Linked DNA regions of Oreochromis niloticus. The protein of the gene in region 3 interacts with the protein of the main gene of each other region in a pairwise test. Links are inferred from orthologs where the notes say so. Each region holds a gene or a part of one and is shown on either strand. Other genes may lie near its edges. The genes, in order: coiled-coil domain-containing protein 106, junbb, atf4a and cebpg.

Evidence for each region.
Region 1: the proteins of atf4a (region 3) and coiled-coil domain-containing protein 106 interact in binary tests that used the Homo sapiens proteins (3 or more experiments, as listed by UniProt). The link is inferred for Oreochromis niloticus from reciprocal best matches to the Homo sapiens genes ATF4 and CCDC106.
Region 2: the proteins of atf4a (region 3) and junbb interact in binary tests that used the Homo sapiens proteins (3 or more experiments, as listed by UniProt). The link is inferred for Oreochromis niloticus from reciprocal best matches to the Homo sapiens genes ATF4 and JUNB.
Region 4: the proteins of atf4a (region 3) and cebpg interact in binary tests that used the Homo sapiens proteins (3 or more experiments, as listed by UniProt). The link is inferred for Oreochromis niloticus from reciprocal best matches to the Homo sapiens genes ATF4 and CEBPG.

What each region holds. Positions count from the first base shown.
Region 1 is NC_031976.2:22,629,370-22,636,951, forward strand, and holds the start of coiled-coil domain-containing protein 106, read right to left. Parts: upstream 3,517-7,582; 5' UTR 3,384-3,516; intron 2,961-3,383; exon of another isoform or gene 2,943-2,960; coding exon 2,873-2,942; intron 2,788-2,872; coding exon 2,689-2,787; intron 2,570-2,688; coding exon 2,348-2,569; exon of another isoform or gene 2,254-2,347; intron 2,140-2,253; coding exon 2,083-2,139; intron 1,970-2,082; coding exon 1,688-1,969; intron 1,565-1,687; coding exon 1,394-1,564; intron 758-1,393; exon of another isoform or gene 737-757; coding exon 420-736; 3' UTR 1-419. Other genes in the region: si:dkey-17m8.1 (C-Jun-amino-terminal kinase-interacting protein 4), read right to left, coding at 6,198-6,316, 6,423-6,512, 6,630-6,728, 6,820-6,933. UniProt on the Homo sapiens protein: Promotes the degradation of p53/TP53 protein and inhibits its transactivity.
Region 2 is NC_031969.2:8,275,875-8,283,534, forward strand, and holds junbb (junB proto-oncogene, AP-1 transcription factor subunit b), read left to right. Parts: upstream 1-5,119; 5' UTR 5,120-5,474; coding exon 5,475-6,464; 3' UTR 6,465-6,987; downstream 6,988-7,660. UniProt on the Homo sapiens protein: Transcription factor involved in regulating gene activity following the primary growth factor response. Binds to the DNA sequence 5'-TGA[GC]TCA-3'.
Region 3 is NC_031971.2:9,244,671-9,252,631, forward strand, and holds the start of atf4a (cyclic AMP-dependent transcription factor ATF-4), read left to right. Parts: upstream 1-4,788; 5' UTR 4,789-4,970; intron 4,971-5,935; 5' UTR 5,936-6,048; coding exon 6,049-6,097; intron 6,098-6,353; coding exon 6,354-6,668; intron 6,669-7,653; coding exon 7,654-7,961. Other genes in the region: uncharacterized protein LOC106097202, read left to right, coding at 1,347-1,417, 1,509-1,644, 1,965-2,387. UniProt on the Homo sapiens protein: Transcription factor that binds the cAMP response element (CRE) (consensus: 5'-GTGACGT[AC][AG]-3') and displays two biological functions, as regulator of metabolic and redox processes under normal cellular conditions, and as master transcription factor during integrated stress response (ISR).
Region 4 is NC_031965.2:37,665,338-37,673,798, reverse strand, and holds the start of cebpg (CCAAT/enhancer-binding protein gamma), read left to right. Parts: upstream 1-5,111; 5' UTR 5,112-5,272; intron 5,273-6,827; 5' UTR 6,828-6,933; coding exon 6,934-7,425; 3' UTR 7,426-8,461. Other genes in the region: cebpa (CCAAT/enhancer-binding protein alpha), read right to left, coding at 1-276. UniProt on the Homo sapiens protein: Transcription factor that binds to the promoter and the enhancer regions of target genes. Binds to the enhancer element PRE-I (positive regulatory element-I) of the IL-4 gene. Binds to the promoter and the enhancer of the immunoglobulin heavy chain.

The DNA.
Region 1 (7,582 bases), on a different chromosome or scaffold from region 3:
GATGCTCATCTAAGTACTGGAAAAAGCTGTCTCCTCTATAATCCTGGTAAAGACACATTGTTTGTCACCAAATCTGGATCACACAGACATACCTGAATCCTGGCCTCAACAACAGAAGCTTGTTTTTTTTCTTTCTGTCTGCAGCAGGCACCCCCACATCCTTAATACCCACTGCAGTGAAGATTTGTCGAAGGACAAACAACAAACGTGTAGGATGTTTGTAAAAGTAACATGTGAAGGGGCCAGAACCAGATTGCTGAGACAGCAAAATAATAATAAATAATAACAATAAAATGATCTGAATATTGTTTCTTGGGGGTGAGCTAGCCTGCTGCAGCAGAACCCAACTGCCTTTCTTTTTACTACTCAAACCACATTTATTGTTTAGGGAGATCGCCCATTATTCTCTCTTTCTTTCCTTAGTGTCTGAACCTGTAGGAGATGGGCAGAAGCAGGTTATTCTTCTTCAGGGCTTGGACTCTGTTAAGTGTCTCTTCATCCAGGGCAGTGTAGCAGCGCCGGGCATAATCCAGCAGCTTCTCCTTGGATGGGTCAAACTCCCCCACCTCTGCCACCTTCTCTGGGGCGACTAGCAGCAGCTCAGCAATGGGCGTGGTAGAAGCCACTGTGTTGCGGTCAACGCCATGAATTTGGAAGGCTTTGGACATATTTTTTAGTCGCTGGTATGTAAGTAGGATCTTCTTGTAACGGAAAAGCACTCCAGCAGCATCTTTCACTGAAGAAGAAAAACACACAGGTGAGTCAGCTACAATCTCATGAGCAACTCATGACCATAGTATGTAAAAGACGGAAATGCTGTTTTTAAGCATTAACTTGTCATTTTTGTGGCCAGATATCACAAATCTGACTGAGAAAGAGAGGGCACTGCACACTCATAGCACAGGCAGCGACTTGCATGTTAAAAGGCATCCACACACTAAATCATACCTACATTTTGTCATCTATTGTATTTTAAGTGGGATCACATTTTACATAATTAACCTAATGCTGTATTTAACAAGATTAGAAACTAACAATTGAAATTATCAACTCATCAGAAATCAAGTATATTCTTTTTATGGGTTAAAATTTTTTTCAACTAGGAATTGCAGCCTGCTGGTCATTAGAAAGAATGCAGGTTTAAGACACCCACTAGCGTGGTCCCTTGTCTTGGACCCAGGCCTTTTGTGATTCGCTATCAGTTTTGTGATTTGTTGTGGTTCATGTTGTGTGTTCTGTTGTTATAATCGCCTCTTGGTTTCAGTTAGTTTGCTCCTTCTCTGCTCTGTCATTATGTTTTGCTAATCAGTCAATGACACCCAAAAGCTATGTCCAGCTTTTAGATACCGTCAGTATTAAGGACACTTAAATGTTGAGATTTTCCTCTCCTCACCTCTTTGTCGTTCTCTTGGAGGTCGGAAGACCCGCCTTCTTTTTAACTGGTGTCTGTTGCTGTTAATGGCGTCTGACATCACATCTTCCCCTGATATCATTTCCTCCTCCTCCTCAATGTAGCCATCCTGCTCAAGATACTCATCTGATTCTCCCAGTAGTGAAATGGAATCTAACGAGACAAAAATGTTCTATTTAACTAAACACAATAGTTAAAAGACAACATATTAAAAGCACTGATTGCATTCAGTTAATTATGGTGATGCAAAGCTTTATGCCGTATCATGTGTATTACCTGGACCTACGTTGCTGTGCCCACTCATTTCATTCATGGATGACCTTGCAGCACTGCTACTGTTGCCACTGCTGCCACTGGCTGTGGTACTGGAAGTACTATGGCTATGGCCTTGCAAAATGGCTTGGGATTGTGTGGAGTTGAAGAGAGCATTCATAGATGCAAGCTGATTGGTCAATGGACTGGACACGTGGTTTTTTGAAGTCACCATAGTTGGAGGACCAGGCCTTCGCTGCATAAAGTGACGTGAGGGGAAATGCTGAGAGTCGGTCTTCTGTTGTTCTATAAAGAGAAGGAAATCTGAGAATCTGCAAGCTAAGCTAAAATATATGAAATAAAGTATAACATTAACAGGCTGTTTGGGTATATCTAATTATGACTTTTCAAATTTTTACCAGCAGGACGATCTTCCTCTCTTCTTGCCCTCCAGTTAAATCGTCTTGATTCATATCCTTAAGAGAAACAAATAGCAAGAGATAAAAAATTATTTTCGATTCTAATAGACTTGCTAAAAAATCTGTTTCTCATTAACCATGTAACATTAATGAACCCATCTTCTCCCCCAGTGACAGATAGGATAGCTGCCAGTCCCCTACATGGATTAACCACTGGTGAAACTGTTGGACATGTTATTAACTCACACCTGCCCCCTGTCCTCACCATTACTGTATTGGCTCTGACTCTGCTCCTGTCCTTGGCTCTTTGTGGAAAAGATGAAGCGGTCCAGCTGGCAACGGAGGAAGTCCCTCTCCTCTTCCAAGTCCTCAATTCTTTTCTGCAGCCAAGAGTTTTTCTCCAGAGAGATCTGCAGCTGGGTCCGCAGGTTGGTGATCACCATGTAGGAATTGTTGACTGGAGATGGTCCAGCAGATGACGGTGACTCTGAAGAGTACCAATGGTATAGTTAGTCTGGCCAATAACTAATAATGCACATCAAGAGATTGTGTGTATGGAATTAAGTTATTGTAGAGTAGATTTAAAGTATTGATGCTGATGTTCACCATCAAAATTTTGATCACTCTGGTTAAAAAATCCCTGCTGCTCAAAGTTGCCCTCCTCATAGGGGATAGAAATTTCATAGGCGTCCTCATTTTTTGGCGCTGAGAAGAGACAACAGCAATTAATTATCATGCTTGACCCAAAGACAGGACGATCTTATGTGCTGGGACCACTTCGAAATCTTACTCTGCAGGTGGAGTGAGCCTGCGTGGCTCTTGGATGTGGACGCAGCATCATTCCTGTTTCCGTCCTCCATCTCACACCACAGACAAACCTTTGATTAGTGCACAGTTTAAAAGGTGTCTTCAGTGACTTTCTTACATTTAGTGATGATGTGCTCACATTTATCTAAACAGCTACAGCTCACCGGAAACCTCTCACAACGTGGGGGTGTTGTGCTTTATGCATACGCAGTGAGCCTACAAAGCATAGCTAATTTTATCACACAGCTCTCTCCCATGCAATTAGAAGCTAAAACAGTGAAACTGATTGTATTACTCAAATATAAGTTTGTAGCGCCCTGCTACGGCGCTCAGAAGAGAGCCCTATGTTAGCGTCCTGTAATATTAGCACAAAAAATTAGCTACAATATAAAATTACAATCCCTTTCTTTCTGCACCCTCAAGTTTAATGAGTTCACTCTCACATTGTTAAAATCCCCGAGTTACGAATATCATCTGCAGAAACTGTTACATACCACTTTATGTTTGTAATAACTTAGTCTTGCACATGTAATAAGACGTTATAACTCCGTCATATCTCCATTTCACCAGTTCGTCGGCTAGCTAACAAGCTAACAATAACAATTATCGGGGTTTTTTTTCTACTGAGACTCCTACGTCACTTCCGGATGACCGCCCGCTGCAGATACTTTTATTTAAAAAAATGTTTTGGTCGTTTTTTTAATAACGGCATTTGCGTGCGTGTAGTTAAATATATGAGTAAACGTTTAGGTATATTAATATAAAATATATATTGTTTCCAGATATTTGGGAAATTTCTCACTTTTAAACTAACTTTTCCACTCACTTGTTTCGAAACATTTCATTGTTTTTTCTCCGGTGTAGGAAAACTACAGGACAGGTTGAACAGGTGACGAGGTGTCAGGTTTCAGCTTTGTCGACTGGTCGCTTCTGACAAACTGTATGCGGAAGGACAACAAAAGCGCAGTTTCCAATAGAAACATTTGAATTTTAAGTACTCAACAACGTAAGAAGGAGGTAAGTGTTCTGTTTTGTTTTTTGTGCTTTTTATTTAGTAAAATGTTGTTTTAGCTCATGTAAACTATAAAATCTGTTTGTAAAGGGCGTTAAACGCGCATCCACAGGTGTTATAAGTGTAGCATGGCCGGTATAAACAGTGCTATCAGCATTACTCCCATTTTTTCAAATTATTTTTATATATATACATTTTTTTAATATTGTTAGCTTCTTTTAAAATTCTTTTTAGGTAGAGATGTGTGAAAATCAGGGATATGTTGTAAATATGACTTTGTTTAAATATTTTATGTATATATTTTTAACTATGGAGTCAAAAGATATAAAAGCTGATATGTTAAAGGAACAGGCTTCCCTCCCTCTTTCTTTCAGTGCAGTAATGGCACCGAAGTATGATGGCTTGTCCCACTGTAAGGTGGCTCTGGTGTTTGCTGTGCTGATGGACCTGCTGGGTGTGATATCCCTGCTGCTGGGGGTCTTTGCCCCACTGGAGATCAAAGGCCAAGACTTTGGGGATCTGCTGGTGTACTCGGGAGCTCTGCTGGTGCTGTTTTCCCTAGCAGGCTGGGTCATGTGGTACAGTGGAAACATTGAGGGTCTAACCTCCAAAATAGAGCTTGGTGGAGCTGTGGGTGGAGCTGTGGACAGACTTGCCCGCAACCTGAGTCGCAGGATACGGCTGCCCAGGACCCAAAGCAGTCCGACGTAGGTAGAGAGGCCTCACTGGACCAAAGACTAACTGACTTGAGCTGTCCTTTTTTAGGCAGCAGGCCAGACTGCCTGAGGCAAAGGAGTGTCATTACTGTTTGTCGTTCTCTTTACAAACACTTCCTTTGCTGAAACCACCTCATTTACTTAAAAAAAAAAAAAAAAGATTTGTTATGCTGTTTTCTATAAGGAAAACTATGATAATTTCTTTAATCTTTACCTAATATATAAAAGGAATAATTTATAGAGATTAAAGAGATGAATCTGCAACATTGTCTCCCAGTGCTAATTGAAAATTATTCATTCATTTACTTGTGTCATATTGCTGGACCAGATTATGGCAGCAAAATCACTCAAAGCTAAGGACTGTACATTAACAGCTGAAGGCATTTTAATGACAATAATCATATTTGCACAAGGTTGAGTCAAAACATAGTTTCAAATCTTTTCAAGAAGGATACAGAGCCGCTACGACATCAACATGTGTGCACAAACTGCATATAAATACTGCAAAGGACACTTGAAAGATTTTATCTCCCTTATTTTACAATGAAAAAAAGAACAGAAATCCAAACATAACTGAAATTAAAAGAATTGCACAACATCCAATGGAAGACGGCAAGCAAATAGCCAATTGAGAAAATAAATAATTTTTAACGACAGCTTCTGAAGTTGTTCCTTTAAGCGAGGGGATAGTGGACATATTTTCAATACAGACACCTCAAGCACTGTGGACAGGGGTAGAAATTGAGTTAACACTCATGGCAGGAATACCAAAAATATACAACACAAAAGATGGAGCTTTACAAAACAATAAAATGTCTAATTGTGTTTATGGTGTGAGACCAAAATCCTGTCTCCAGTTCACAATTAACAACAAAGTATGTACACAGCAGCTACGAGAGAAGCCACATCACCAGCTTAAATGTTTTTGATGCATGCACGACTGCTCTCTACATTTTTTTCCCACCAAGTGAGAGAAAAATGTATTATTCAGCTGACAGTCAGCAATACTGCATTGATTTTTAGGGCAAAGGTAAAGATCTATTAGCCACCAGGGAGCTGAATTACTGACCAATTATACAGCAGTGATATAAAATGAGATGAAGGCACACGGGAAGGTTTCACGATCCATTAGGATAATTAGATATCAAAAGATATGTACAATATATATGAGGTAAACAAGTATGAATTGTTATGAATCATATCTTTAAATGGTATTTTATTGCTACCACACTAAGATGTTGGTTCATTTAGTTCCACGAAAGATCCGTTTCAATGCTTTGTTGAGTCTGCTCCATCTTCATCATAGGTGAGAAGCGTGGAACAGTTACCTCCTTTCCATCAATGGAGTGCTGGTGCTGAGGGAACAAGAGAGCTGCCAGAATTCCGGCAGGTTTAAACCTGGGATAAGTTGGGATAAACTGAGTCAGAAGAACTTCTAGCATTAGTCCCTCTCACACTCTCACACAGCTGCTGACATCAGTGGTTCAAACTTCAGGTACAGCAATTAATTTAGTTGGCGTGGCTTCTAGATTGGGCAGCAGCACTGCGCTGAAGGAAAAGGACGTGTGAGATGAAAAAGCTCAGAGTGCAGGGTTAGGCACAGGTGGTGTGGGAGTTTGCCAGATGATCATGTGACTACGTTCAGATCGCTGTGGCGTGGCTTGGGACACCTCTTCCGAGTCATCGCTTGCATCATCTCCTGGAAACAAAGAGGACTTTGTCAGCCTCTAAATAGTCCAAGTAGTGCACAAATGATGTAATAGATGAGACGGACTTAAGTACAGTTTTATTATTCTTCAGCTCACCAATTCGAAAGTTGATGTAGCCCTCTCCTCCACTGAGGATAAGCTGAGCAGTAGTGACATGGCTGCTGCCAGGATTGGTGATCAAACAACCTGACAGGTACGAACATTTTTTGTGGTCACTCAAACACAAAAAAAACATGCATGTGCAATCTGAAGCATCTCTCTTAATTGTTAAGAAGTTACATGTAATGGCTATCCAACTCTTACCGGGTGCAGCAATGATGAATCTGACGACTTGTCTATGTCCATGGTAACACAGCTGGGCAGATGCAGTGGAGCAGTAAGGGATGGAAACATCCTCTGAAGCTGCAGAGAGTTAGTAATATGGTTAATAGTACACTGAGACCATTTATGACCAAATAACTTTAAGTTCCAGGCATTCTTAAGCTAAACATACTTATGGACAAGGGGATGGAGAAAATGGCACCACCTCCTGTGCCCACCCACAAACGGCCACAGATAACAGTGAGAGAGGAGATCTGGAGAGGTGAGAGTGTCAGGAAGGGCTGGCCTGTGGAGAGAGAGAAAACTGGTTAGATTGAAGCTAAAGTGGTTGGTCATAAAACAAAATGTATGTAGAACAAAAATAATCAATAAAATATACACACAGTAGTCTGCATCCCTAATTTCTTTATATTTTCTTCGGAAAATGGGAAAAAGGGGCAGCAATCTATTGAAATGTACATACATGGAAATATTGTATATAAGGCAATAAAGCCTACAAGCTTCAAAGTCAATATTTGGTATGACCACCTTATATGACGACAAATTACAAGAAAGCTTCTACGAGAGTTCAGACTGTGTTGAAGAATAGTCTTCAGGAGTAGTTATTAAGGCTTCTGAAAGGGCCTCCAAAGCTCTCCTTTGAATGTTGGCTGCCTTTTTTTTTTTTTTTTTTTTTAAATTCTTTGATGACCCCACACTGCTTCACTAATGCTGAGGTCCAGGCTCTCGCAAGCCATGTTCCACCATGTATTTTTCTATCCAGCCATGTTTTTACTGCATGTGTTTGGAATTACTGTCATGATGATGAAGCTGCTTCCAATCAGATGCTTTCCAGAGCGTACTGCATCGAGTTCATAATTCCATCGATTTTAACAAGAGCTCCAACACGACTGGCTGAAGTGTAGTCCCAAACCATGACAGAGCCTCCACCATAG
Region 2 (7,660 bases), on a different chromosome or scaffold from region 3:
AGGACAGAGTTTATAGGGTGAAGAAATTACAGGGATTATCCAAGGTAAGAATTGATGATGCTATGTGTCTGTGCACTAATAATGCAAAAATATATCTAGAAATCTGCATAGATACACATCTACTGAATAAAATATTTCAAATGCAAAAATGACTTTGAATCAAAATCACAAATCTGAACATTTTCACTGCGAACACTTTAGTCTTTGTTATATCCTCCCTTCTTGCAGATGTTCACATTGTGGTTAAAAAAACACCACACACTCATACTCCACCCCGAGTGATATACGTGCTTGTTCACACACACACACACACACACACATACTTAAGACACATACACTTTTCTTATTCTTACCGTAAACAGCTTCCTCCCACCCTCAGGCTTTGCCTTTCCCAAACTCACCCAGGATCCCGAGCAGGTAACACTCAGTTGGTTTTGGCAGTCATCCATGTGATCCTGACTGTTTAAACTGAGTCTGTTGCCAAGCAGCTCGTCCTGCCCTGGAACTCTTTGAAAGTTTGCCCAAAAATATGCATAAAAAAAATATGAACACTAAATCTTAGGGCTGGTTTCGGGTATTAGTAGAACTCCTGTACAAAAAAAAAGCAGAACTTGAAGGTATTTCTATACTAGAGTACACACACAATCTTAACAGACTAAACAGAGATGTGACTAATCAAGATGTGACTAAGATGTCGGACACGTTTTTTTAAAAACGATTTTTATTGTTTTTGCAAAAGATGAAACCGGTTCCCTTCAACTAATCACCACGTCATCACTTAGAGCTAAATCGACCCAAATTTCGCAGCTCTTCTGTTTATAATTGAAGGTGGTGATTAATAGAGATTGTTCTGAGCAGAAGCAAAATCACATATTAGACACGCCGTACATCTGTCGCAACATTCACACGTTTGTCTCTCCCACTGCTTAGCAAACATTAGTGCTTTTGACTAACATTTGGCAAGATGGCACGGTGCCACCTCACGAGTGTTCCCGTAAACACTCACCGCTCTGGACCCTGTGCTGTTGTTCTGTGCCAAAATGTCACTGGAAGTGTGGTCAACCTCAAACCCCAGTGCTGAATAAAACCTAAACCCAAGCAAGAGCAGAGCATCAGAAACAGGCAGCTGCACAGAGGACAGAATTTATAAGGGAGGTGGCAAAGTGGAGGCAAGACACTGCCAGGAATTGTTGTTTTCCTCTGTTTAGCCATATTCCCATGGATACTCACAAAAAGGCATAGAGTTAAAATAGTTGTTCTGAATACCAGCAAATTACCTGAGATGAGGTAATTACAATCAGGCATGGAGAACCTAAAAGTGGTGATTTCAGTTAACTTTCCCAGTCATGTCAAGAATATAGCAAACGGCTGTCAACGGTAAACGTTCTCCTTTCTGTGACAGGTTTAAAAGCTCTCTCCGCTTTAGGCCTAAACACCACTGACAATGAGTTTTTAAAAGGCAAATACATAGTATTACAGGGTGGTGGCTGTCACTATTCATACCCAAAGGGAAAACCTGTTGAAAGCTTGATTCAGCCCCCCTCCCCCTGCTCTGGCACAGGTCGGAAATACACTGAGAGGTGGATTCTGCGGATGAGAAAGTCACAGATTAAATAATCAAAGGTGTGGCTGTGCTTGTTTTGAAATATACAAATATGACTGTACTCTTGTGTAATTCTTGTGCTGGGTTTTGTTTTTGTTATACAGCACAGCCTCAACCACCAAGGTGTAAACTTATACTTTTCCAGGCATGCTCGTGGGAAAGTTGGGCTAATTAACTCTGTTTTAACTAACAGATGGAAAACTGAGAGCGGGGGTTAGCTTGCCGTCCCCTCACAGCAATTAGGTCCTGGGTTTGAATCCACCATCTGGCTGGGGCCCTGGGAGTTTGGATGTTCTGTCTCCAGGTGCTTCCACTCACAGTCCAAAAAAAAGCATGGGGTTAGGTTAACTGGTGATTCAAAATGGGCTGTAGGTGTGAAAGTGAGTGCGAATGGTTGTCTATGTCTTTGTTTTGGCCCTGTGACAGATTTGGGACCTCTCCAGGTGGACCCTACCTCTCTCCCTTTAACAGCTGGAGTAGGCTCCAGCCTCCCTGTGACCCTGAAGCGGATAAGCGGAAGCAAATGAATGGAGGGAAAAGTGATAAGAGTAAGAGTAAGCAAATGGTTGATAATAGCAATAATAAAGGTTTGTGTTAATGTGAGGCATAAACTGTTCTATATAGATACAAATCTATACATTTATTAAATAACAATAAATAGAAACAGCTATCTTACTACGATGGATAAATGGGTGAAACATCCACCTTTTCCAGATTGTAGTCACAGATCACTGATTTTAGACCGCCTGTTAAAGTCTCAGCTTAAAGCTGAGTGTGTCCACACAGGAAGTGACTAGCAGCTAACTGGAAACCTGAGACCACAGAAAGTCAATGACATTCGGTCACTTCAAGTGAAAAAAAAAACGGTTGAAAAAAACCCTTGTGACGCACAGTGGGTGCGTCCCAAGATAAACATTTCTCAAATTCAACGTGAGCTGCTAAAGCTAGCTCACTTGGTTAGCAAACTGCTGATATGAACAATTAAAATGCTATTATTTTTCTTACCAAAACCTTGCACGGTCCTTACCTTACAGAAGGCAATATTATTTATCAGACAGTTCCATTAAAACTCCTTTAAAATGACACGAACAGCGAACACAAGAAAGCTGTTAGCTAAAGCTGCACATGCTAGCAGCTGTCACAACTTTCATAATGCAAATGGATGCGTTATGAAAAAACTTAACAGTACAGATGTTATTTATGTGGAAAGTCTCCATAAAGACCAGTGACCTTTGTTATACCACGATGGTTTTTAATGTTGTAAGTTGGTATTTTAACATGGAGGTTTATGGAGATTGGCTCACTTTTAGAAAGCGCCTCAAGTGGCCATTAAAGGAACTGCATTTCTGCACTGTCATTCTTTCTGAGCCCTTGAGGTTGCTGCCTGGTAGATGTAAAAATGCAAAAAAAATAAGTGTGTTGTGGTTGTATGTCTCTTTTAACAAGTCAAGTTTCAGTTTAAATTCAGGTCTGTCCAAGCACATAGAAACAGTAACATATTCAAAGGAATTTGACACTTTTGGCACCAAACTTCACATCCACGTCTGAATATCTGACCAAATCTGAAATGTAGTTGCAGTCTCCCTTTCTGTTCCTGAATCAGGAAACTGAAAGATTCCAGATTATGATCTCACACTGAGGCTGACCTCTGACCTTTTAGAAATTAATGTCAGAATTGCATCCCATCAGACATTTGTGTGCCATTTAATATTTCGCCTTAGAATTCTTGAGTTTTGGCTAAGACTGTGTTTTTGCGACATTGCCTAATTCAAATCAGGTGAACCTTGAGTCCAAATGGATGTTTGTGCCAAGTTTGAAGAAACTTCCTCGAAGCACTTCAGGAGACAAGTTCGCGAGAATGGGTGGAACAAGTCTACAGATTTAGCAATAATCTGGAAGCATAACACCTGCAGTCATGGTTGCTGTCACTGCAAAGGCATAAAAATCACTGTAACAATACCTGCCTTTATTAATTGTTAAGTAATATCTATTTTATAATCCTTTTAATGGGAACACATCTGGAGCATGGTGGGTGGTGTGAATATTTGATAGGGTTATAGGCGGTTTGTCACACTGATCATCTGCACATGTTAATGAAGATTCGAGAGCCAGTTTTTGTTATATGCTTCTGTTATTGTAATATACATTCTGCCACGGCCTTGTCTTCAGTACACAAGACCAGAGATTCATCCCTCAGGAACAGCCAGAGGATTTTGCAAAGCATCCTACCTGACTTGATTTGTGTGTAGAGGGATGTGGGATACAGTAGTGAAGGCAGTGGTGCTTGATTGTGTGGGCGTTGGAAGAAGTACAAACAGGAGACAAAGGTTTCCTTCTCCGCTACTGAGACAGGTGCTCTATTGAGGAATCATATTTCTTTTCTCTCAACGCTACGATCCTACCGAGCAAATCACAGTAACTCTACATGTAAATCTAAACAAAAGAAAGAAAAAAAGGGTGTTTTTGTTTGGTTTTTTTTTTAATGGCCTTCTGACATCAAAAGGGTAAAACACTATTTGTGAATCTTGCCCGGTGTAATCCCCCCTCTTTGGCTGTGTTGGACAGAATTTCCTCAGTTTCCTCTATTTCATGATCAAAGCTGTTTACTTCAGGCGACATGGCCAACATCAGCATCCTATCAGATTACTACAGGAGGAAGTGTTTGCTCTGTGGCTGATCACAGTTTTCTGCTCCGCTGATGTGTGTCACTGCTGTGTGCTTTCAGGCGTCACTTAGAAGTGGAGCAGTCAAGTCATTTGAATATATCATGTCAATACCTGTGAACCCCCCCGAAAAAATATATGAATATTAACACAAGTTAGGATGTGTATTTTCATGTTTTAAGATGGTTCATATAAAATAATGAATGTTATTTTTCTAGAAGAACTGAACTTATTGTCTGAGGCAGAAAGTCCCTAACTTGCCTAGCCACATGGATTTAGACAGGAGCAGGAATGCTGCTGGAATGAGGCCTGGAGTGGGCCTGGCTTCCCGGTTGTCCAGAAGAGGAACTTATACGTCAGTGTGCCCATATAAGGAGTCTCGACTTCCTCCATGGGACCGATTGCAGTAAACAGCTGATGTTTGTTGTATATTTCATACCCAATGGATCCAACAACAGATTGCGCGTGAACTAATGGGCATCCCATGAAGCTATAATGACATAAAATGAACCCAAACCGGCGCATTTAACGCAGTTTTAAGACACATTAAAGAACCTACAAATGAATTAGAAAAGCAGCGATTTGCTCTAACGGAATAATCTCACCTCCTCGCTTACCCAACAACCATTTATTCAGCCCATAAACGCGCAAAGTCGTGCATAAATACGTCGGACTTTTCTATTTCTGACATTGGTCTCCGCTGCGAGCCCTCCTCGGAGCGCTCTCTTGCCTACAGGCTTGTTTACAGTCGCCTCTTCCCGGCATTAGCGTCACTTGACGACGCACTCGATGGGCGCGGAGACACACACTCTGTCCAATGACAGCGAAGCACCCTATATAAAACGGCGCACATGAACCCGCCTGAACACACCTCAGCAAGCACCAAGACAAACACAGCGGCAAATAGGAATTGCGAGAAAGAAGTTTTTGTTTCACAGGATTTTGAAGGAAAAAACCACAGCAAACAGGCTCCGGGAAAGACTTTTGAAATCCGCTGATACTGAACTCTTGCTGGACTTTCACTAGTTTGTTTCCTTTGCTCTTCATCCTCGAGTGATTTTCATTTTTTGAAATTTGGAAACACTGTTTAAGAGAGACTACAAGTGCCCGATTTGATGCATGCTCTCTGCTGACACTGACTTTTGTTGATTACCCAGAGACTGTGTTTCTGTAAGCGGCCGGTAAGCTCACTTTTTTCCTACGACTTTATGTCTACAAAGATGGAACAGCCTTTTTATCATGACGACTCTTTTCTGTCGGCTTACGGCCACTCAGACGCGGCAATGCACGACTGCAAACTGCTAAAGCAGAATATGAATTTGAACTTGACAGAGCCCTATCGCAACCTGAAATCCCAGCTGAGGGCCGAGACAGACCTGTACCAAGGGGGCCAGCAAGACGTGGGGTCCCTGAAGCTCGCATCCCCAGAGCTCGAGAAGCTCATCATCCAAAACAGTAACGGTGTGATCACCACTCCCACCCCGGGCCAGTACTTCTACAACCGGGGCATCACCGATGAGCAGGAGGGCTTCGCTGAGGGTTTTGTGAAAGCACTGGACGAGCTCCACAAGATGAACCAGATGCCCCCCCCTAACGTGTCCATCGGAGCCGGTGGAGTTACGACGTGTTCGCCGGCGGCCTCTAGCGTCTTCGGCTCCGCCTTGCAGCCCGAGCCCCCCATCTACACAACACTGAACGCCTACTGCCCGAACACGAACCTATCTTCCTCATCCAGCTACCCCACAGCCACCATCAGCTACCTGCCGCCGCACCAGCAGAGCCACCACCAGCAGAGCTCGACGCACGGCGCGCACGCTTTCCAGCACACCCTCCCCGTCTCCGGACTCCATCCGCAGCGGCTGGTCGCTCTGAAAGAGGAGCCTCAGACCGTGCCCGACCTGCTCAGCAGTGACGGCTCGCCTCCGATGTCCCCGATTGACCTGGAGACCCAGGAGAGGATCAAGGCGGAGCGCAAGAGGCTGAGGAACCGACTAGCCGCTACCAAATGCCGGAGGCGCAAGCTCGAGCGCATCGCCCGGCTGGAGGAGAAGGTGAAAGTTTTGAAGAACGACAACGCGGGGCTCTCCAACACGGCGTCGGTCCTCCGGGATCAGGTAGCTCAGCTCAAACAGAAGGTCCTGACACACGTGAGCAGCGGCTGCCAGCTGATGCTCACAAGCAAGCTGGAGGCGTTTTAAAAATACCAGAGACTACTAAGAAGAAAAAAAAAAATGACTGAAAAGTGATAACACTGGAGTCATGTTCTGCATGCGCAGCACTGGAATTACCGGCTCGTGTGTAGTCAGCATCACAGGGCCGAGGGCTAGGTGTGGACGATACTGAAGGCTATTTTAGGGTGAAAAGACTGATTGTAATGGTACTTCCGGATGCTGGACACCCCTCACAGGACCATTCAACCCTAGAATCCAGGGCAGCATCCAGACTGAGCAGACACTGAGCAACACAGTGGGCGCACATGCCCATAAGTCGGGTTTACTAATGGTAGAAAATGGGAACGATAATTTGTTTTACTTTGTACCATCTTCCTTTTCCCCCTTTGTTTAGTTTTTTGTTTGTTGGCTGCATTTATTCATTGTGTAAATTATTTCATGTGTCCGGTTGATCCAGACAAACTGATGATGTCCAATGTTTACAGTGTCTCTTTTTTTTTAAAATTGTGTTGTATATTTAAGTAAAGTGTCTCAAAAATGAAAAATGAAATGGTGGAGTTGAGCGTTTTTGTTTTCACACATCTACACATAATTTAGAATAACAATAACAACAACAACAACAGCACCGGGAAAGAGTGGGAAGAGCAAACGAGGTTTTCTTTCCTACCATACTGTAACCATAACAGTTACTATAGCTCCCAGTGAGGAACTCTTACACAAGCACATTCTGGTTGCGGTGTTTTTACGCACAGAGCGTAGCTTGCGTATGTAGGCCTTTCCTAATTACGCAGGGGCTATCCATATATGGGCATACTGGTGACTACTTCGTCACAGGGGAGGATTTCTGGGAACCCCCGCCCAGGTAACGCAAACAGGTTCCTCCTCACTCCCTCTATATACTGTATCGATAAGATTTGCGAACTTCATGAGGGTGGCGGAATTTCCTTTTGGTTATTGTGCAATTGTAAAATAAAGTGTTTAAACGGGAAGAGAGCAAAGTGCGATCCTCTTATCTCTTATCAGCTAAACAAGCTAAACAAGAGCTTGGCGTGATAACAGGAAGCAGTAATAAAACGGCTGTGATCGTGGTGCTTTTTAATATTGTTATTTTTTTAATATAATAAATGAAGATTCTTAAACTCGTACGCTAGCCACCTATTGGTGGCGCTCGAGCCTCAAAGTTGTTGCAGCATTTTTTAGGTGTCAGTGTAATTGAAAGATCG
Region 3 (7,961 bases):
TGAATGGATACCATGCCATGACGTTTCAGTCACAGTCATGCAATCTGTTTGGATTGTGTGATGAGCATTCATTTAGTGGATCAACCAGCCAAAGTGCAGCATCCTGTAGTGACACAGAGACAGCAGGCAATGTTACACAATGCCACAGGTAAGAAATTTAAATTGAATTTTATTTAAGTTCAGACGACAACAACTTTTACTCAAACTGCCATGCATATTGTTTTGGTCAAAATATCCTACCTATCTGGAATTTGTTCCAAAATATTTCAAAAGAACTGCAAAGGTTTAGTTGCCAGAATCATGAAAAATTTTGAATTAGATTAGATTTGCACTCAAAGCAAAAACGAAAGCAGTCCACAATGGGCATGTTAGCTTCAGAGATGCAAGCAGCCTTGTTTGGCGGGCCTGACCAGGTTGATTAACAGTTTGGTTGTCTTGAATTTCAGCTCTGCAAGCTGACTCTGACTTGAAATATAATGTGTTGAGATTTGTAGTTCCTTAGAAATCTTGAGGCAAATTTCGCTGTAAAAATATATAGATCACTAGATTTGACTCAATGTTGTATCATGAACATGCACTCATGGTCTCTAAAAGTATACGTTCAGGGAGGGGGCCATTGAAATTGTAGACCACAGTTCTACTCTGATAAACTTCTTCTGTGTTACATAACTATCTTCAATGACCACCTTCAATTATACTCCCTCTTTTCTCCAGCCAAAGGTTCCAACTCCCTTACCACATCCGACTCCCCTGCCAAGAAAACACATTTCCCTTCCAATCAGTCCTAAGACTGATGAGCCAGGAAAATGTGCTCCCCTGTCTCCCACGAAATCTGGAGAGGTTTGGGTTAAGTTGCCTACACGCTCAGAAATTTAAGCAGTGGCTATATATAAACATATATGGTTGCATTCTAATCATTTTTAATTATTTGGTGGATTGTTTTGTTTTTTTTTGTTTGTTTGTTTCTATTTTAAACTCAGGACATCTGCTCGAGTCCACCACCAGTCCCACCAAAGAAGTGGACTGTTAGAAAGAGTTCAACAGGAAATGAAGTTTTTGTGGAAAAAATGAAGGTACCACTGGTCTATATCTAGTGTGTTTTTTTTTTCTTTCAGCATCTACTCACACAATGAATGCTTTTAATGTGTCACAGAAATGTAGTTTATCTGAAAGCAGTTGAAGTGCATTCATAGAATCTGAAACTGGTGTCTCTGATCAAACTCTCTGTCATGTGAGATAACACATAAAATATGTGCACTGTTCAAACAGGATTAACGTGTTTAAGGTTCATCTAACAAACGTGGATTGTTTCTCTTTTTCTAAGATGCTGGATCAGTGTTTTAAGGATGAAGGTGAACGCCCTCCACTGCCTCCTAAACCCCATCAAATGCAGCTTGATGATGAAAATGAATCCCTGGTAATTACTTAAAATAAATACAGCATTAAATTGATATTAGGTGATTGTTTTGTCATGTTTTAGACACTTTAAATCATTTCTCTTTAATTAGGATGCTGAGAGTCTGTCAAACTCCTACGAAAAGTCAATACGTGAGTAAAAAGATCCAGCTGGCACTAACTGCTGTCGGGGTCGGCGTGGCTGCAGCCGGCGGTGTTACTGGTGCATCAGCAGCCATCGCAAATAAGGTGATGGTCTTTAAGGCACCGCCTTAAAACATCTTTGTTCATGGTTTTTGTAGGTTGATAGGTTTTCCTAACTTTTTAAGAGAAAATACATTTTTAAATCTATTCTGGTTCACTTTTGTTTTTGTTCTTTTGTTAATTTGGAGTTCCAGGACTTCAATCTAAAATGCTGAATGTCTTCTTTTACAGTAATAACTCTCCTGAGATCAAAAGCCCTGTTTTTATGTTATCACAATTTTTAAAAAAGGGTACTAACTGGAAACTACCCACTCTAGTTATCTGAATTTCTAGTATTGAACTGATTGTGAAGCATGTTTTTCCAGGTGAACTGCAACCAGGACCAGAAGAAAATTGAAAAGATCTTTACTGACTACGAGTCACTCAGTAAGGGCATTCAGGAGAAACTGGTTTATGTCCATGAGGGCATAGAGCAGCTGAGGCAGTATGGTGTCATCATGCTTGAGAGGACCAAGGTGAAGTCAGAGAGGGCCTCCAAGGTGCTGGAGTTCTTTGGTCAAGGAGGGCCATGTGCCAAGGTCTTGGAGGCAAACTCCAAGCCATCTGGGATGATAGAAGGCTTTGCCCTCGGCATGGATATGTACTTCATCAAAGGAAAAGATGGAACCAAGGTGAAGAAGGGCTTTGAGTCAAAGTTGGCAAAGAAACTCCGCTCCTTGGCGGTGGATCTCCAGGAACGACTGGATGAGTTCATCGAAATGAAAGAACTGTTTGAGAAGTATTGTTAGGAGGGTATTTTTCTCCACCTGAATATCTTTTGTTTGGGGGTTGTCTTTTAATGTTAATTTTCAGTTTTACGAAAGTTTATTGATCAACATATATTTCCTCTTTGGCAACAGGTTCGAAAACAGAACAAAACTTTTAGTGCAACTTTAGGAATTGTAACTTCAAGCAGTTTCTTTTAAATGGTTTATGGTTATTAATGCTGTATAAAACTGAGATTGTGTTAACCTCCCTTAATTTAGCTGTTTTCACCTATTAAGATGAGTTAACACCTTAAGATAAGGTGTTATGCAAACGCATTGTTAACCCTAGAACACTATCGCTGGGTGATTTACACCCGAGCAAATACATTTACATGATTTCTCTCTCCTGCAGCTGTTTGTGTGTCGAGGAGCCTGTGCCTTCACCAGGGAAGTCTCAAATTTCCCAGGAATGGGTGGACCAAAGACCAGCTTTCCAGAGTCATTATTTTGTTTTAGGAGGGTTGTTTTTTTTTTTCATTTTGTTAGACATGGCACAGTTGAAAGTAAAAGAAGACCACTCTAATTTGTCATGTGTTGTCATATTTTGATATATTTGATTACTTTTTATTGGTTATATTATATCGGGTAAAAATCACCCGGCATTAGTGATTGTGTTACTATTTATAGCGATAGTGTTCTAGGGTTAAACGCAATCGAATGACATGTTTTTTAAAAAGACTACTAAATAAACCGATTAAAGATCGACAAAATCCACCAGGGGGCAGTGTAGTCCTTCTTTTAAAAAGTTTCAGCTGATGCTGAGTACACATTTTTAAAATACATAGACTTTTATCATTCCTAGCTTGACTTTATATGTGGTATAGTTATACATGTCGCATTTAAAAACAATTTACACAAAAATGTGAGTGGTTGTTAACTGGAAGCTTAAAATGAAACATTTTAAATGTTACTTCTCCATAAAGTTACTCAGGCACCAGACCTGACTGTGTGTCATACAAACCATATGATAATTTACAGAAATGCAGTCAAACCCTTTCTCAGTGTATAATCAAATATTTCTGCCTATCATTCTATCATTCAATTTTTGACTGATTAACCTAGTTATGCTATAAACTTTTTTACATTTCCACTCTATCATTATCATTTTCTTTGAGTTGTGAAAAATTTGTCACTTGAAAAAAAAAGAGTTTGGGTCCAAATTAATTTCACCTTCAGAACCAATAGTGTCTTATTGAATCCCTTGCAACAGCATAGTTAAGGCTCCCTCATAACATGAATAGTTAAAAATAGCCATGATCAGAAATGGTCTCTTTTACTTCCTGATACCAGTCTCACATCCTTCACCTATCGTGGGGGTAAAATCTCAGTGACATAAAAACGACAACAAAAACTTGGAAAGAGAAACTGTTTTTGGAGAACCACAAACCAGACCCAGGTGTACTTTCAGATCCGCTGTCCTGCAGCTTATATCGGGATCTTTCACCCCTATTTCAACTATGGATGGAGGTTGTTTTATCTATGTTTGCCTTATTATCATTCCTTGTTTATTACACCATGGCTGGCTCTAACAAGTGTATCTAGAAACAAAACTGAAGATTTTATTCAGACACCAATTTTGGGTTTTAGGGGGCTGCTCTAATATTTGGCTTCAACACCATCTTTGGTTTGAAAAAAGAAACAGTGCATTTGAGCTACAATCAGCATTTTATTTACCTCACTGACTACTTTGACAGTCATCTAAAATGATATTTTCCCTTTACAAAATTATTCCAGCCACATTAAACCATCATGTAGGGTGGAAACAAAATAATTATGATGAAATGTATGAAGTGGGCCTCGCTCTGTAGTCTGCACAGTCTTGTTCAGTCCAAATAATAGTCACCAGGCTTGTTCGACCAGAGAAAGACTGCTTAAAATGACAAGGGTGTGACCCTACATTTGTTAGACATGAGCAGTGAATCATGTCCGTCTGTATGTGAATAAAATATAAAATGGGGCACGCTGTGATCTAAATTAACCGTCGACCTGTTAAAACAATAGACACCTGCGCTCCAGTACAATGAATATTATGGCAAAAATGCGATTTGAAAGGTTTTGTTACAAACAATAAAACAGCTCCAGGCCCATAAAATACTGCCTCGTCTCAATGTTTACATTCTGGATTTGACCTATATTTTACGTCACAGCATCCATGTGGATCTACTTTGATGCGATTCATCCAACCAGTTACAAACATCAGTCGGGCGGAGGGATCCCACTCGCAAAAAATGTTCGTTTGTTTAAGTTAACCAGCATGGTCGAGTGGCCACGCTTTTGTTGACTGTTGTGAAGACCTCCCACTCGCGCTGCTGGTTTCACAGTGAACAAACGCCCTCGCGCTGGGTGCGGAGCGATATACGCAGCAGTACTTCGGCCATATATAACCCCCCACGCGACGGCTCGACCTGTTCTTCGTTCGTACAGCTCCTGAAGTAAACACACATTACGCGTAGAAGCTGTAGCGGGCCAAAATGGCAGTGTAGAGGCGTGCGGCAGCTAACCTTGCAGCGGCAACAAACCGGCAGTGCAACGGCTACGTGCACTGGCTTTTTCTGGCAAAATGGCGTAAGTAATTTTTTATCGACATTTTTGCAGTCTTCTAAAGAGAAAAAAATTATAGCCACTTCTTGTAGTAACTAATCTGTCAACTAGAATGTGTCACTGGCTATTAAACTTGTTGATCAAGGCTATTTGTTTTTGTGAAAAAAACTTGCTAAGTGTGTTTTGAGTCATAGTTCCTTGTTTAGAGCTAGGGTGTCAAATTACAGTATACCAGCTGAAGTAGTCCGAGCCGGCGCCTTACTTTGTGTTGTGAATCATGCTAACGAGCCGTCGATTGGGCACTGAAAACATTTTAGACTTCTCATTTTAATTTTTAATTTTCTTCAGTGGCTGCGACACGGTTGTCAGTGTGGTACTAAAAACATTTTTAGTGTTTTGTATACGTTTCACATTGGCAACGTGGCGTCCAAAATGGCGCGCGCTGTGGGTTTTTAGCTCGTTCCCCGCCTCGCGCAGATGGCTCTGTTGTGAAAATGGCGGTTTGCCCTCCCACATCTCCGCCATGACTCATAGGCGTGGGTGGAGTTACCAGCTAAAGCATGACCAAATTAGGCAAAGTTATCCCCCCCGGTGGAGGGCGGAGTTTCCCATCAATACAGCTTTGACGCTCAAGGGGAACGGATTAGCCAAAATTAGACACCCCCCTCCCCCATGACAGGGATGTCAACTCCTTTTAATGACCCTAGTACATACTACCAGAGAAGCCTACATTGTCTGCACAAGGGTTGTCAGTCAAAAATGTGCTTGTTTCAGGAAGTACACCTGCACTGGGGAAACTTTGCATTTACAAATAAACTTGGCCCTGCCAGACATCAGATTTTCATAAAGTTTGAATATATCATTTCACAACTTCTGACAATAAAATGTGTCACTTCATTTTAGTTTCCATATGAATCAACACTAACATTTGCTTATATTCCTCATTTTTCTCTCATTAACATGATTTCTGTTTTCTTCCCTCCAACCAGGTCTCTCCCGGCAACCACCCTCAGCTTTGCTGCCGTCGACAGCATACGTGGACCTCTCGACTCACCATTGTTCTTGTACACCTTTTCACGGCTACCACTGACCAGCAGCAGCCATGACTCTCTCCCAGCTAGCCCTGGAGGACGTGGAGGCCCTGTACTTAGGTGTGTGTTGTGATGACACACATTGCCAAAGCACTAGTACAAACATTGCTGAATGTGGCGCTTTGTTTGCATAACATTTGGTAATGGTAATACCATTCCCAACAATACTAAAGCCAATGAAGTACAGTTTCATATGGTCAGCATGGCATTATCTGTAGATGGGTTAGATGTTTTAGTGAGTTATTGGATGAATGACAGATTTGTATGTATTGGATGCCCCAAATTAGAAGTTGACGGGCTGATCTTTTGTTCTCAGGGCCCTCCTTTCTGATGGCTGACCCCATGGGGCCCCTTCTGGACCAAGATGAAGAAGAAGCTCTTTCTCCCTCCTCCCTAGAGGGGAAGGCGCCAGCTTCGCCCTCCCTTTCTTTGTCCACTTATCCATCCTCCTCGTCCCCTTATCAGACCATGTCTTTCTCCCCGCTGTCTTTGGCCTCCCCATCTCCCTCTCCTCCTCCCACTCATTGTTCCTCGTTCCTGGGAACCAAGGCCGGAGCGGACTCGCTGTCCCTCTCCTGGCTGGGTGCCGGCGACCTGCTCGACGCCCATGTTGGAGCAGATGATGGCAAAGGTGAGTGCCTTAAAATACATGTTTAATGAGCAGGGGGCAAGTCCTAAATTTTAACAATTATTTTTCAAAAGCAAATAATTTGACAAGTTGTTGAACTGAATAGAAACCAAATAAAAGAAATGATGGAAGGTTACTAATTGGAGTATGTTTAGGACCAAACTACATCTTCCGCTCTCATTAGACTATAAAGTTGGGAGCATTTGTTGTGCTGTGAATATTTCAGAGGAGAGGCCCACTGTCAGTTAAGTATTTGAGGTTTGCCTGCAGGCTGAGGGCTGACGTTAAGGCCGTGGGTGAGCAACCTGGATGTTTGTAGGGCAACAAACTTTTATTGGTTTGAGTGGCGGGTGTGGCTCAGAGTTGTGCCGCAAAGACCGGCTCAAACTGGTTTTGTTAGACGTCATTGTGCAATAACACATTTATCCCTTTGTGCTTCCTGGCATCAGTTGAAGTTCCTTGTTTTGTGGATTTAGTCTCACTTGAGTATTTGTAAACGTCAGACACATAATCGAGGGAGAGATCAAATATGTGCCTGAGGTCATGTGTTGAATAGGGTTGGGTTATAAAGTCTCAAAACATCATCGCAATAGTTCAAGGAAATTTGTGATGTTTCTGACAATATAAAAAAAAATAAACACTTGATGTTTTGTTGATGCTTGCAGCCAGCAGCTATCGTAATATTTTTGGATATTGTATCTTGGGTCAAGATTTTAAATAGCAGCTTCCACCGTGTAACCACATCAGTAATTTACATCCGTGCATTGCTTTTTCTGTGATATGTAGTAACATGAATATAACCCACAGTGTTGATATTGTCATACGGCTTTTTAAATATGCTGTAAAAATTGATGCAGTACAATTCACAACCCTGGTATTTAACAAATAATTAGCTGTATGGAGTATTGCATAGAAATGATTCACTGTAAGAATAATCATCCAAATTTCTTAATGTTTATTGCGAGTATTAATGAATAATATCTGTCAGCAGATGATGCTTTTGCCGGCATGGACTGGATGTCAGAGAAAATCGACCTGAGTGAATTTGACCTGGAGTCTTTCATTGGATCCTGCTCCTCTGATGAGTCTCCCAGCTCCCCTGAAGATCTCCTGGCTTCCCTGGACTCCTCCATGGATTTAGATCTAGATGCCTTTAACACAACCATCCCCGTCCCACACAGCAGCCTTGAGCTGAGTTTGCCTGTGCCCGACATTCCCAGTCCCCCTCTAGAGCCCTCCCTCCCTGTGGCACCTGAGGTCAAGAAGACGGAGGTTGCTCCTGCTCATGAGGTTAAA
Region 4 (8,461 bases), on a different chromosome or scaffold from region 3:
GTAGAGCTGCTGGGGCCCCGGGCCGCAAGTCACCGGGTCGTACTCCCCGTTCATCATTTTGAGCTTGTCCTGTCGGGAGCTGTGGTGGAACAGGTCAGCCAGGAAGTCGTCGTTGAACGCTGATGGGTCGATGTAGGCGCTCAGGTCGATGGAGGTCTCGTTGTCTCCGATCTCACCGCCAAGATCTGCCGGGTCTCTGTAGCCGGAGGAGGGCTGCTGGTTCAGGCTGTTCATCAGGGGTCGAGGTGCGACCTCGTACAGGTTAGAGAGCTCCATTGAGAATCTAAACCCGGGCAGGCATGGCGATGAGCTCCGGGAATCCAGGTTGCACAAAGTCGGGTACTAAGGTGAGAGGGGGTTACACAGCTGCAAGCATGCGCTGACCCAAAGCTCGGAGAGACTGTGACGGTTGCAGTGGCTCCGTTTGTACGCGGAAAGAAGCGGAATGAAGCAGCTTCAGGCTTAACTCTGCTGGGCTGATTCCTCCTGCTCAGTAAACTCCGAGCTGTCAAACTGCTGTTATATACAGAGAGGGAGAGGGAGTGGGCGGGCACACGTGCCCGCGCGCGCGCACACACAGCCCTCAGTCTTGCCAGCTATCTGCACGGGAACGCTTCAGAGTCAAACTCGACTCAAACTTTTATCACACACAGCGTCCTGCGCTCCTCTCTGCGCGCTCTGCTCACACATCAGCGCCAAAGCTCAGGCTGGTGAAGACACGCTGAAACCACCCGGAGCAGTTAGAGTCGGTCCGCAAAAGTCACATTAAATATATATATATATATATATATATATATATATATATATATATATATACATATATATATATATGTTTACAAAAACAAATATTGACAAAAATTAATAAATGCTCTGGATTTCAGACGCTCTTCTAGACCGAGCGCGCTGGTGTTCAGCGCGTAACACGATCAGCTTGAAAACCTGTTTTAAAAGAACTAAATTCTTTTCTTTAATCCCCGGGCAGTCTACACCGGGAGACTTTATCTCTGAAAGGAGGGAGCGGCACCTATCAGAGCAGGACGCACAGACTTTATGTGCAAGTTATAAAAGTCGTGAACATCTTCTGGACTTAGAACACGTCTGATGTTAAATAGAATGCGCACTGATGCAAAAACCTGTCATTACTTCATTATAATATGAATATATACCGTCAAGTCCCTGCAAGAAATAACTTCTTTTCTTATTGTAATGTATTTTTATTTCCAAATTCTAAGTCAGGAAGATCCAACACTGAGGCATATTTATTATGACCTGCTTACAATGTTAGATGTGACTTGGGGAATCTGCTTGGATGAGGACGGGTGAGCAGCGCGGAGCAGTGGGGGCAGGGACGGCGGACTGAAGAGCAGGACTGCAGCGCCCTCTGTGAGCAGCAAACAGAGAGATCTTCGTGTTGGGAGCGATTTAAAGCTGCTTGTTTATTTTGTATTTTTATTCCATGCGTATATTTTTACAGGTTTTTGCTTGACCTCCATTTGAAGACAATAATCTGCTTCTTTCTGACAGCCCAGCGCGACTTCTGTCCTTTTTGTAACTGCTGCCATAAAAGTGATTTAGGAAAGGGCAGCTGGAAACAGTAGCACTGAGAATAAAATCAGTGGCTTATAAATGAGGTTCACATTGAGGATGTTGGAATAGAGAATCCTTCGGGGGGCATCTTTGGTTCATTTGAGGAATTTTTAAGCAACCTTGAGGAAGCTTTAGTGGTCCTCAGGGTCTGACTTTTAAAACTAGTGTTGACGGACTCAGCTGGGAAAATGTGAACAACATTTTCTGTTGCACTGGGAAGCTCTTCAGGCCAGAGACTTTCAGAAGGAAGTACCAAGGGTCCTTGAAATGATCTGGAGGAACATGTGTTTTTAAGGAAACAATATAATAATTAAAAAAGTTTAAAACTGGAAAAAATAAGTGTGATGTTCCTAAACTTCAAAGTCAGCATGTTAAACACAAACTAGAATACACAAAAACGCTCAGACAAATATTTGAAGAGCTTTTGTTTGCTTCACTGCAGCTCAGCTGTCAGCACGGTGCGAGGGTACCTCAGATCAGGCCAGCACGTGGACCTTTGACCTCTTCGATCACACGAGCGATTCCTAATACTGCATTCAGCCTTCATTTGTTTTCAGTGACTTTACTTTCATTTTAACAGCACTGGTGACTCTCTGTTGAGCTGAGGCAGCCCTGACCTCAATGACATCACACCATTGTCACCAGTGCTATCAGTGTTGCAGCATTAGTGGTCCTGTACACATTTTCTGCAGCAACAGTGTGGTTGGACAGTAAAAAAAATTAAAAATCACATTGTTTCCAGAAGCAATGTGATTTGAATTTAAGTTGACATTAACCAATCAGACCTGAGAAAGCAGTTTACCAAAAAAGCAAACACTGCACTGGAGTCATGAGTGACAGCTTCGAATTCCACATGGACAGCTGGCCAACATTCACAGCATATTTCCAGACATCAGCACAGTTTGGATGCAGCGCCTAGTGAGAGCAATGCAATGTTTGGTCACGTGACCAGGCATCACTATTACCAAACCTCATGTTGTGTGTGTCTTTGTGGCTGCTTTCAGTCCAGCTCAATTTCATTTATACAGTTAAGTCCAAAAGTTGTTGGACAGTGACTGTTTTTTTGGGGGGGTTGTTTGCCTCTGTACACCACAACAGTGAATTTAAAAAATGAAGCACAGACTTTCAGCTTTAATTTGGGGGGATTTACCAAAAGTACTGAACTAACTGTACTGGAATTACAGCCATTTTATGCACAGTACTGACTTTCACAGGACAATTGACTGACAAGCTGCTTCATGGTCATATGAGGCCTGTTGTCATCTTATGTCATGTGAAATAGTCAGATATAAAATCTGTTGTTAAGTCCAAGAGTTGAAATTGCATTTGATAGCTGGACTTCTCAATGTGGCATCTCAGTGGAAGTGAGGGAGGCCATCGTTCCGCTGAAAAGCCCAAATAAACAGCAAAGACTTTGGTATTGGCCAAATCAAAAATCTGGTGCATTGTTTAAAAGAAAGAACGCACTGACCAGCTCAGCAACACCAAAAGATCTGAAAGAGCATAGAAAACACCTACAGTGCATGATGACAGAATTATTTCCATGATTAAGAAAATACCTTTACAACATCAGACCCAGTCAAGCTCACAAGGAGGGGGCAGAGTCACAATGAAGACTGATAATTAAATGATGCATTTGCAAATGGAAATACAGAAAGTTTACAACAGGTCAGACTGTCAGTAAACATCTAAAAGAGCCTGAAAAAGATCTTGGGACAGATGATGGTTGTTTAAGAATGATGGCCTGGGCATGTATGGCTGCAGTTGAACCGGGTCATGGGTGTTTATTCATGATGTGGCTGCCAGTATAAGCAGCAGGATGAACTGTGGCGTGGTTTCTAGACTTTAGGTAGCCACCCGGTGCAAAGGATTTTTGTCCAGTTATTAAAATCCATCCTAATATTTACACTTAGGAGCCTCTGGAAATGGGAAGCTATGTATTAAAATGACAGTCAATGCACAAGTTTTGTTAAGTGAAAGCTGAAAGTTGCACTGCAATCTAAGGCTACGTTCACACTGCAGGCGAAAGCGCATCAAATCCGATTTTTTCGCCCCTATGCGACCCGTATCCGATCTTGGTCTGACAGTGTGAACGGCACAAATCCGATATTTTCAAATCCGATCTGGGTCACTTTCGTATGTGGTACTGAATCCGATACGTATCCGATGTTTTAGAAAGCGACTGCTGTGTGAACGGTCAAGTCGCATTAAATCCGTCTTTTACGTCACTGACACAAGACAGACGCCAATTATCAGCGCCGGAGAAGCGCCCGATAGGACATCGCGAACGATTTCCTACCATCCGGTGAAACTGTTGGGAAGACAACGTTGGAGAAATGTGAACATTTTATTTTTACTGTATTTTCTGCAGATTCTGACAGAAATCTGCAACTATCCTTTGAAGCACCGCTCCTCTAAAACAGCAAAAAGGATCATTATTAGGTTATCTACATTATTATGTAAATAACAAAATAACTTAAAGCAAAAATCTGGAAACGTAAAGTCCGAAGTCTTTATATTAAGGGCCATCAGTCAAACAATATTGTTTGCTCTGGGTCTAAACAGAGCGAGTTGTGTGACATCTTCTTTTGCGCATGCGGGCCGCTTTGAGCGTTCACACTGGAGAGCGTTTGATGTCGCATTTTATGTGTAGTGTGAACAAGCAGACAAAAAAATCGGATTTGATCAAAAAATCGGAATTGAGCATTAAGACCTGCAGTGTGAACGTAGCCTAATGTTCCACAGAAGAGGCCTGAAGCTGTAGGCTCTGCCTCCCATTCCACTTTTGGAAACTCTAGAAACCACATGTAACCACAGCCTGAGAGAAAAGTGCTGTCAGGATAAATTTTTGTCTGTTTGTTGTGGGTTTGTATCTTCTTTTTATCACTTTTATCACCCGCTTTTTTAATATTTGGGGTTTTTGTCTTTTTTTTTTTTTTTTTTACCTTTTGAAGTTGATCTTTTGTTTTTGTTTGTTTGGGGCTCAGGTCCAGGTGACCTCTGACATCTCGGGGTCTTTGTCTATACATCCCTTCATTTATATTCTCTGGTCACGATTATTATAAATAAAAGCGCTTTGGGTGCCTTGAAAAGCGCTATATGAAATCCAATCCATTATTATTATTAAAACAGTAATTACATTGTTTTTGTGTGTTCCTGGCAGGACCGCGGTTTCATTAAGTGCTTGTGTCACCTGTGAATGTTCTCCAGCTGTTTTAAGGGGTTTCTTCGTACACACGGACATCACAATAGTTATTATAGTGACTGAAGGAAGCGGGAGCGTCGTTACTGAAGGTACGGCCGCTTTGAGAGTGAGTCTCGTCATTCAGAGATGAAGTCATACGTGTTTCAACTCATCTGACCAGCCTCGGTTACATAAACAACGCCGAGAGAAGATAGCAGCGTCTCATTGGTCCAAACACGAATCAATCACAAAGAGCATTGCATCACTCCGCCGCACACTCATCGGTGATTGGCCAAGCGCCCCACTCGCTGCCACCTACTCGCCTGTGATTAGCTCATCCTGGACATTGCCGTACATGGTAAAAGAGATTTCGCAATCGGTCGCTCTCCATGTTACAAACAAAAACAGTCCGAGCTCATACGGACGGGATTAAACTTCGGTTTTCTAGGGAAACTTTCTCATCTTTTGACGGACGGTTGAGCCCGCCGCCTCCCAGTGAAGGTAAAATCGTAGTTTTCTTTCTCTGTAGGTTCGAAACAGCGAAGCTGGCAGTGAACTGATGGCTGTTAGCGACAGGAGCTAACCCGCTAGCTGGCTATGCGCCCGGCTAAACAGGCAGTGTTCGCGTTCGTTAAAAGAAAGCTGTCGTGTTTCGGGCCAAACTAGGCTTAAATCGACGCCTGTCTCAGATCGGGAAAGCTCGACGGTCAGTGGTGAGTCGGTGAGTTGCCTGTTGGTCGCTTCGAGTGAACAGAAAGTTGTCAAAGTGTTCGAAAATTAAAGTTTGGGTACTTTAAAGCGACGTGTTTCGGATCAGTCCGCCTGTTTTGATCTGTTTCGTGTGTTTTCATATTTGTCACACGTCGGTGAAGTCACCAGAAAGCGGTGGTTTTGTGTGTAGCCCCGCATGACTCTGGAGTTCCCCTGTCTTCACACAAAGAGAGCCGCTCGTGATGATGCAACAACAGGCAACCTCTCCGCTGTTTCACCCGGAGCGCTTTCCGCTGCGCACAGCTGACTGGCTGCATAGCAACGCCCCAGCCAATCAGAGCGGCGCTACTAATTGGCCGTGCGGAATAACAATCTGAACAATTATGGTATCGCAGTGATGGAGTAGGAGGAAGAAGATGGTGATGATGAAGCCTCCTAACTGGAGCTAGAAGAACGCTAGGAAAGTGAGGAAATGATGTTCAGAGCTGGAACTTTGACTGACTGACTGACTTCCACCTTCCAGAAATGATAGAAACACATTAAAATGGCTTGTCAGTCCTTTCGTTGCAGAAATAAAATTTAAAAAATCCCTGAACATTTCTGGCGCAGAGCTGCAGAGTGAAATCAAAAAGCTATCAAGTCTGACAAATGTTCAGTGTTTGCACTGTGAAGCTCATATTTAGCAGGACCAGAGCCTGCATCCACTGGTGGAGCCACCGAAAGACGCCAAAGCAGAATCCATAATACCGCCTTTGTGCCCATTTGCGTAGGCGTCTGATTAGTGAATTGATATGGGATATTCAACCAGCACAGACATGCTTGCAGGTGAGTGATGTGTTAGGCTCAGGTAGAATGTTGATTTGGTTAAAAAGTGGGCTTGAACAGTAAGAGATCGACAGGAGGTTCACTGCATAGAGGAAGAAGAGTGGAGAAAAAAATAACAGATCAAAATGATGCGCACAAGTCTCGAGATGCAGCTGTATGATATCAAAGACCACCAGGACGCTTTTCACTTCCTGTCAGCGCACAGGAAGCCAGCAAAGACCGGAACCTCTGACGTTAGGTACCCTAACCCTAATCAGATGGTGTTGTTCTTTCATGTAGATGATAAAAAGTCACCAGTACTTTACTTATTAAAATACCAAATAAAGTCAGTGAAAGGGACGTACTGTGGTTCAGCTGAGGCCTCCACTCCAAACGCGTGGACAGAAACATCTGCACACAGCTGTCTCTGACTTCTTTGTCTTCTTACATGTGTGGTGTTGTCCATGGCTAGTCTGTAGCTTAGTGTTTGCTTTGATTCTGTGTGATGTGCTCAATTAATCTGGTCTGTCTCACCCTCCAGGCTCTGTCCATCTGCAGGACCATCTTCTTTGCTTCTAGTCTTCTATTCAGCTCTACACCTGAGGAGACTCTGGTCAAAGATCAGCACCTGTTGGCAGCACATCCAAATGAGCCGGCCGTCGCAGCCGAAACTAACTGCAACTGACCACAACGGCGTGAGTGTCATCCAGAGCCAGGCCCACGCTGCTTCTTCGTCCCTCCCGGCAGCCGTAGCCGGACTGCAGCAGGTCCCACAACTCGTCCCAGCAAACCCTTCAACCGGAGGTGGCAAAGCCCTCGCCCCCAGCAAGATGAAGAAACCCCCTGCAGACAAGGACAGCGAGGAGTACCGCCAGCGGCGCGAACGCAACAACCTGGCAGTGAAGAAGAGCCGCATGCGCAGCAAGCAGAAGGCGATGGACACGCAACAGCGCGTAAACGAGCTGAAGGAGGAGAACGAGCGGCTCGAGGCAAAGATTAAACTGCTGAGCAAAGAGCTGAGCGTGCTCAAAGACCTCTTCCTGGAGCACGCTCACAACCTGGCTGACAACGTCCAGCCGTCGGCAGGCGCGGAGGGTTCCAGTCCCGCCCCCAACAGTACCTCCACCAATGGGCAGTGAGGAGGGTAACCACCAGGATGTTGAATATCTGCAGCTTTTGTGGAAGCTTCTCCCTTTGGGAACGAGGCCCCACTTCTTCTTCATGGCTTTTTTTTTTTTTCTGATTATCAGTTTTTATTTAACCTCTTAATAATTCAACACCATCATCATCCAGTTCGCCAAAATAACCGCCAGTGTTCCCACCGTCTACCCAGAACAGCTGGAATCATTTTAGAAGAAAAAGCTTAAAACATGTTTTCTGGAAATATCTTTTAAAAATTGAAAAGATCCACTGAAGTGTGACTTTTAAAATTGAAAGCCAGTTAGTCTGTGATGTTTGGCTGGAAGCCTCCAGCTGTGTCATCGCTCCTCTGATTGACTCATTGATTTGGGGGAACGTGATGCGATGTGAACTCGTATAAACTGAGTCGTCATCTGTCAGGATTCTCTGGAACAAAAAAAAAAAATCACCACACATTTCCTGCATTTCCTCTTCCTGGTGGCGGAAAACCCCCGGTTCAGTCTGATGAAGACGGCCGTGGCCATCGCTGAGTGCTCCGCAGCCACAGGATGGACTTGTAAATGCTAAAATTCCCTTTTTCAGGATGTGTATTTTCTTCTGTTCTTCTACAAAGAGTTTGTAAAACAAAAGTGTTTTTATTGTTAAGTACATTCACTACATGTTGATGTTTTAAGCACAGTTCTGTTTGTGTGTGTGTGTGTGTGTGTGTGTGTGTGTGTTTGTTTTGTTTTTTCATGACTCGTGTTGTTTAAGATCAGAAATGGAAAAACACTTTTATATCTGACTCTGAGTGAAAACAGAGGGAGGGTTAGGGTTACAGACACACACACACAGACACAATTATCCTTTACTGGGTGGTTTTATTAACATGTTTGAGTTGCACACTTTTAATTTTTGGGTCTGAATCGCGGAGTCTTTCCTGCAGAGGCGGTGCATGTTAAACCTTGGTCTCCTGCCATATCAGTGGCTGCCCGAAGCCTTTAACGGCTGAAGCCGGCAGCGCTCGGCCCTGACGAAGCAGAACAAAATGCTAAT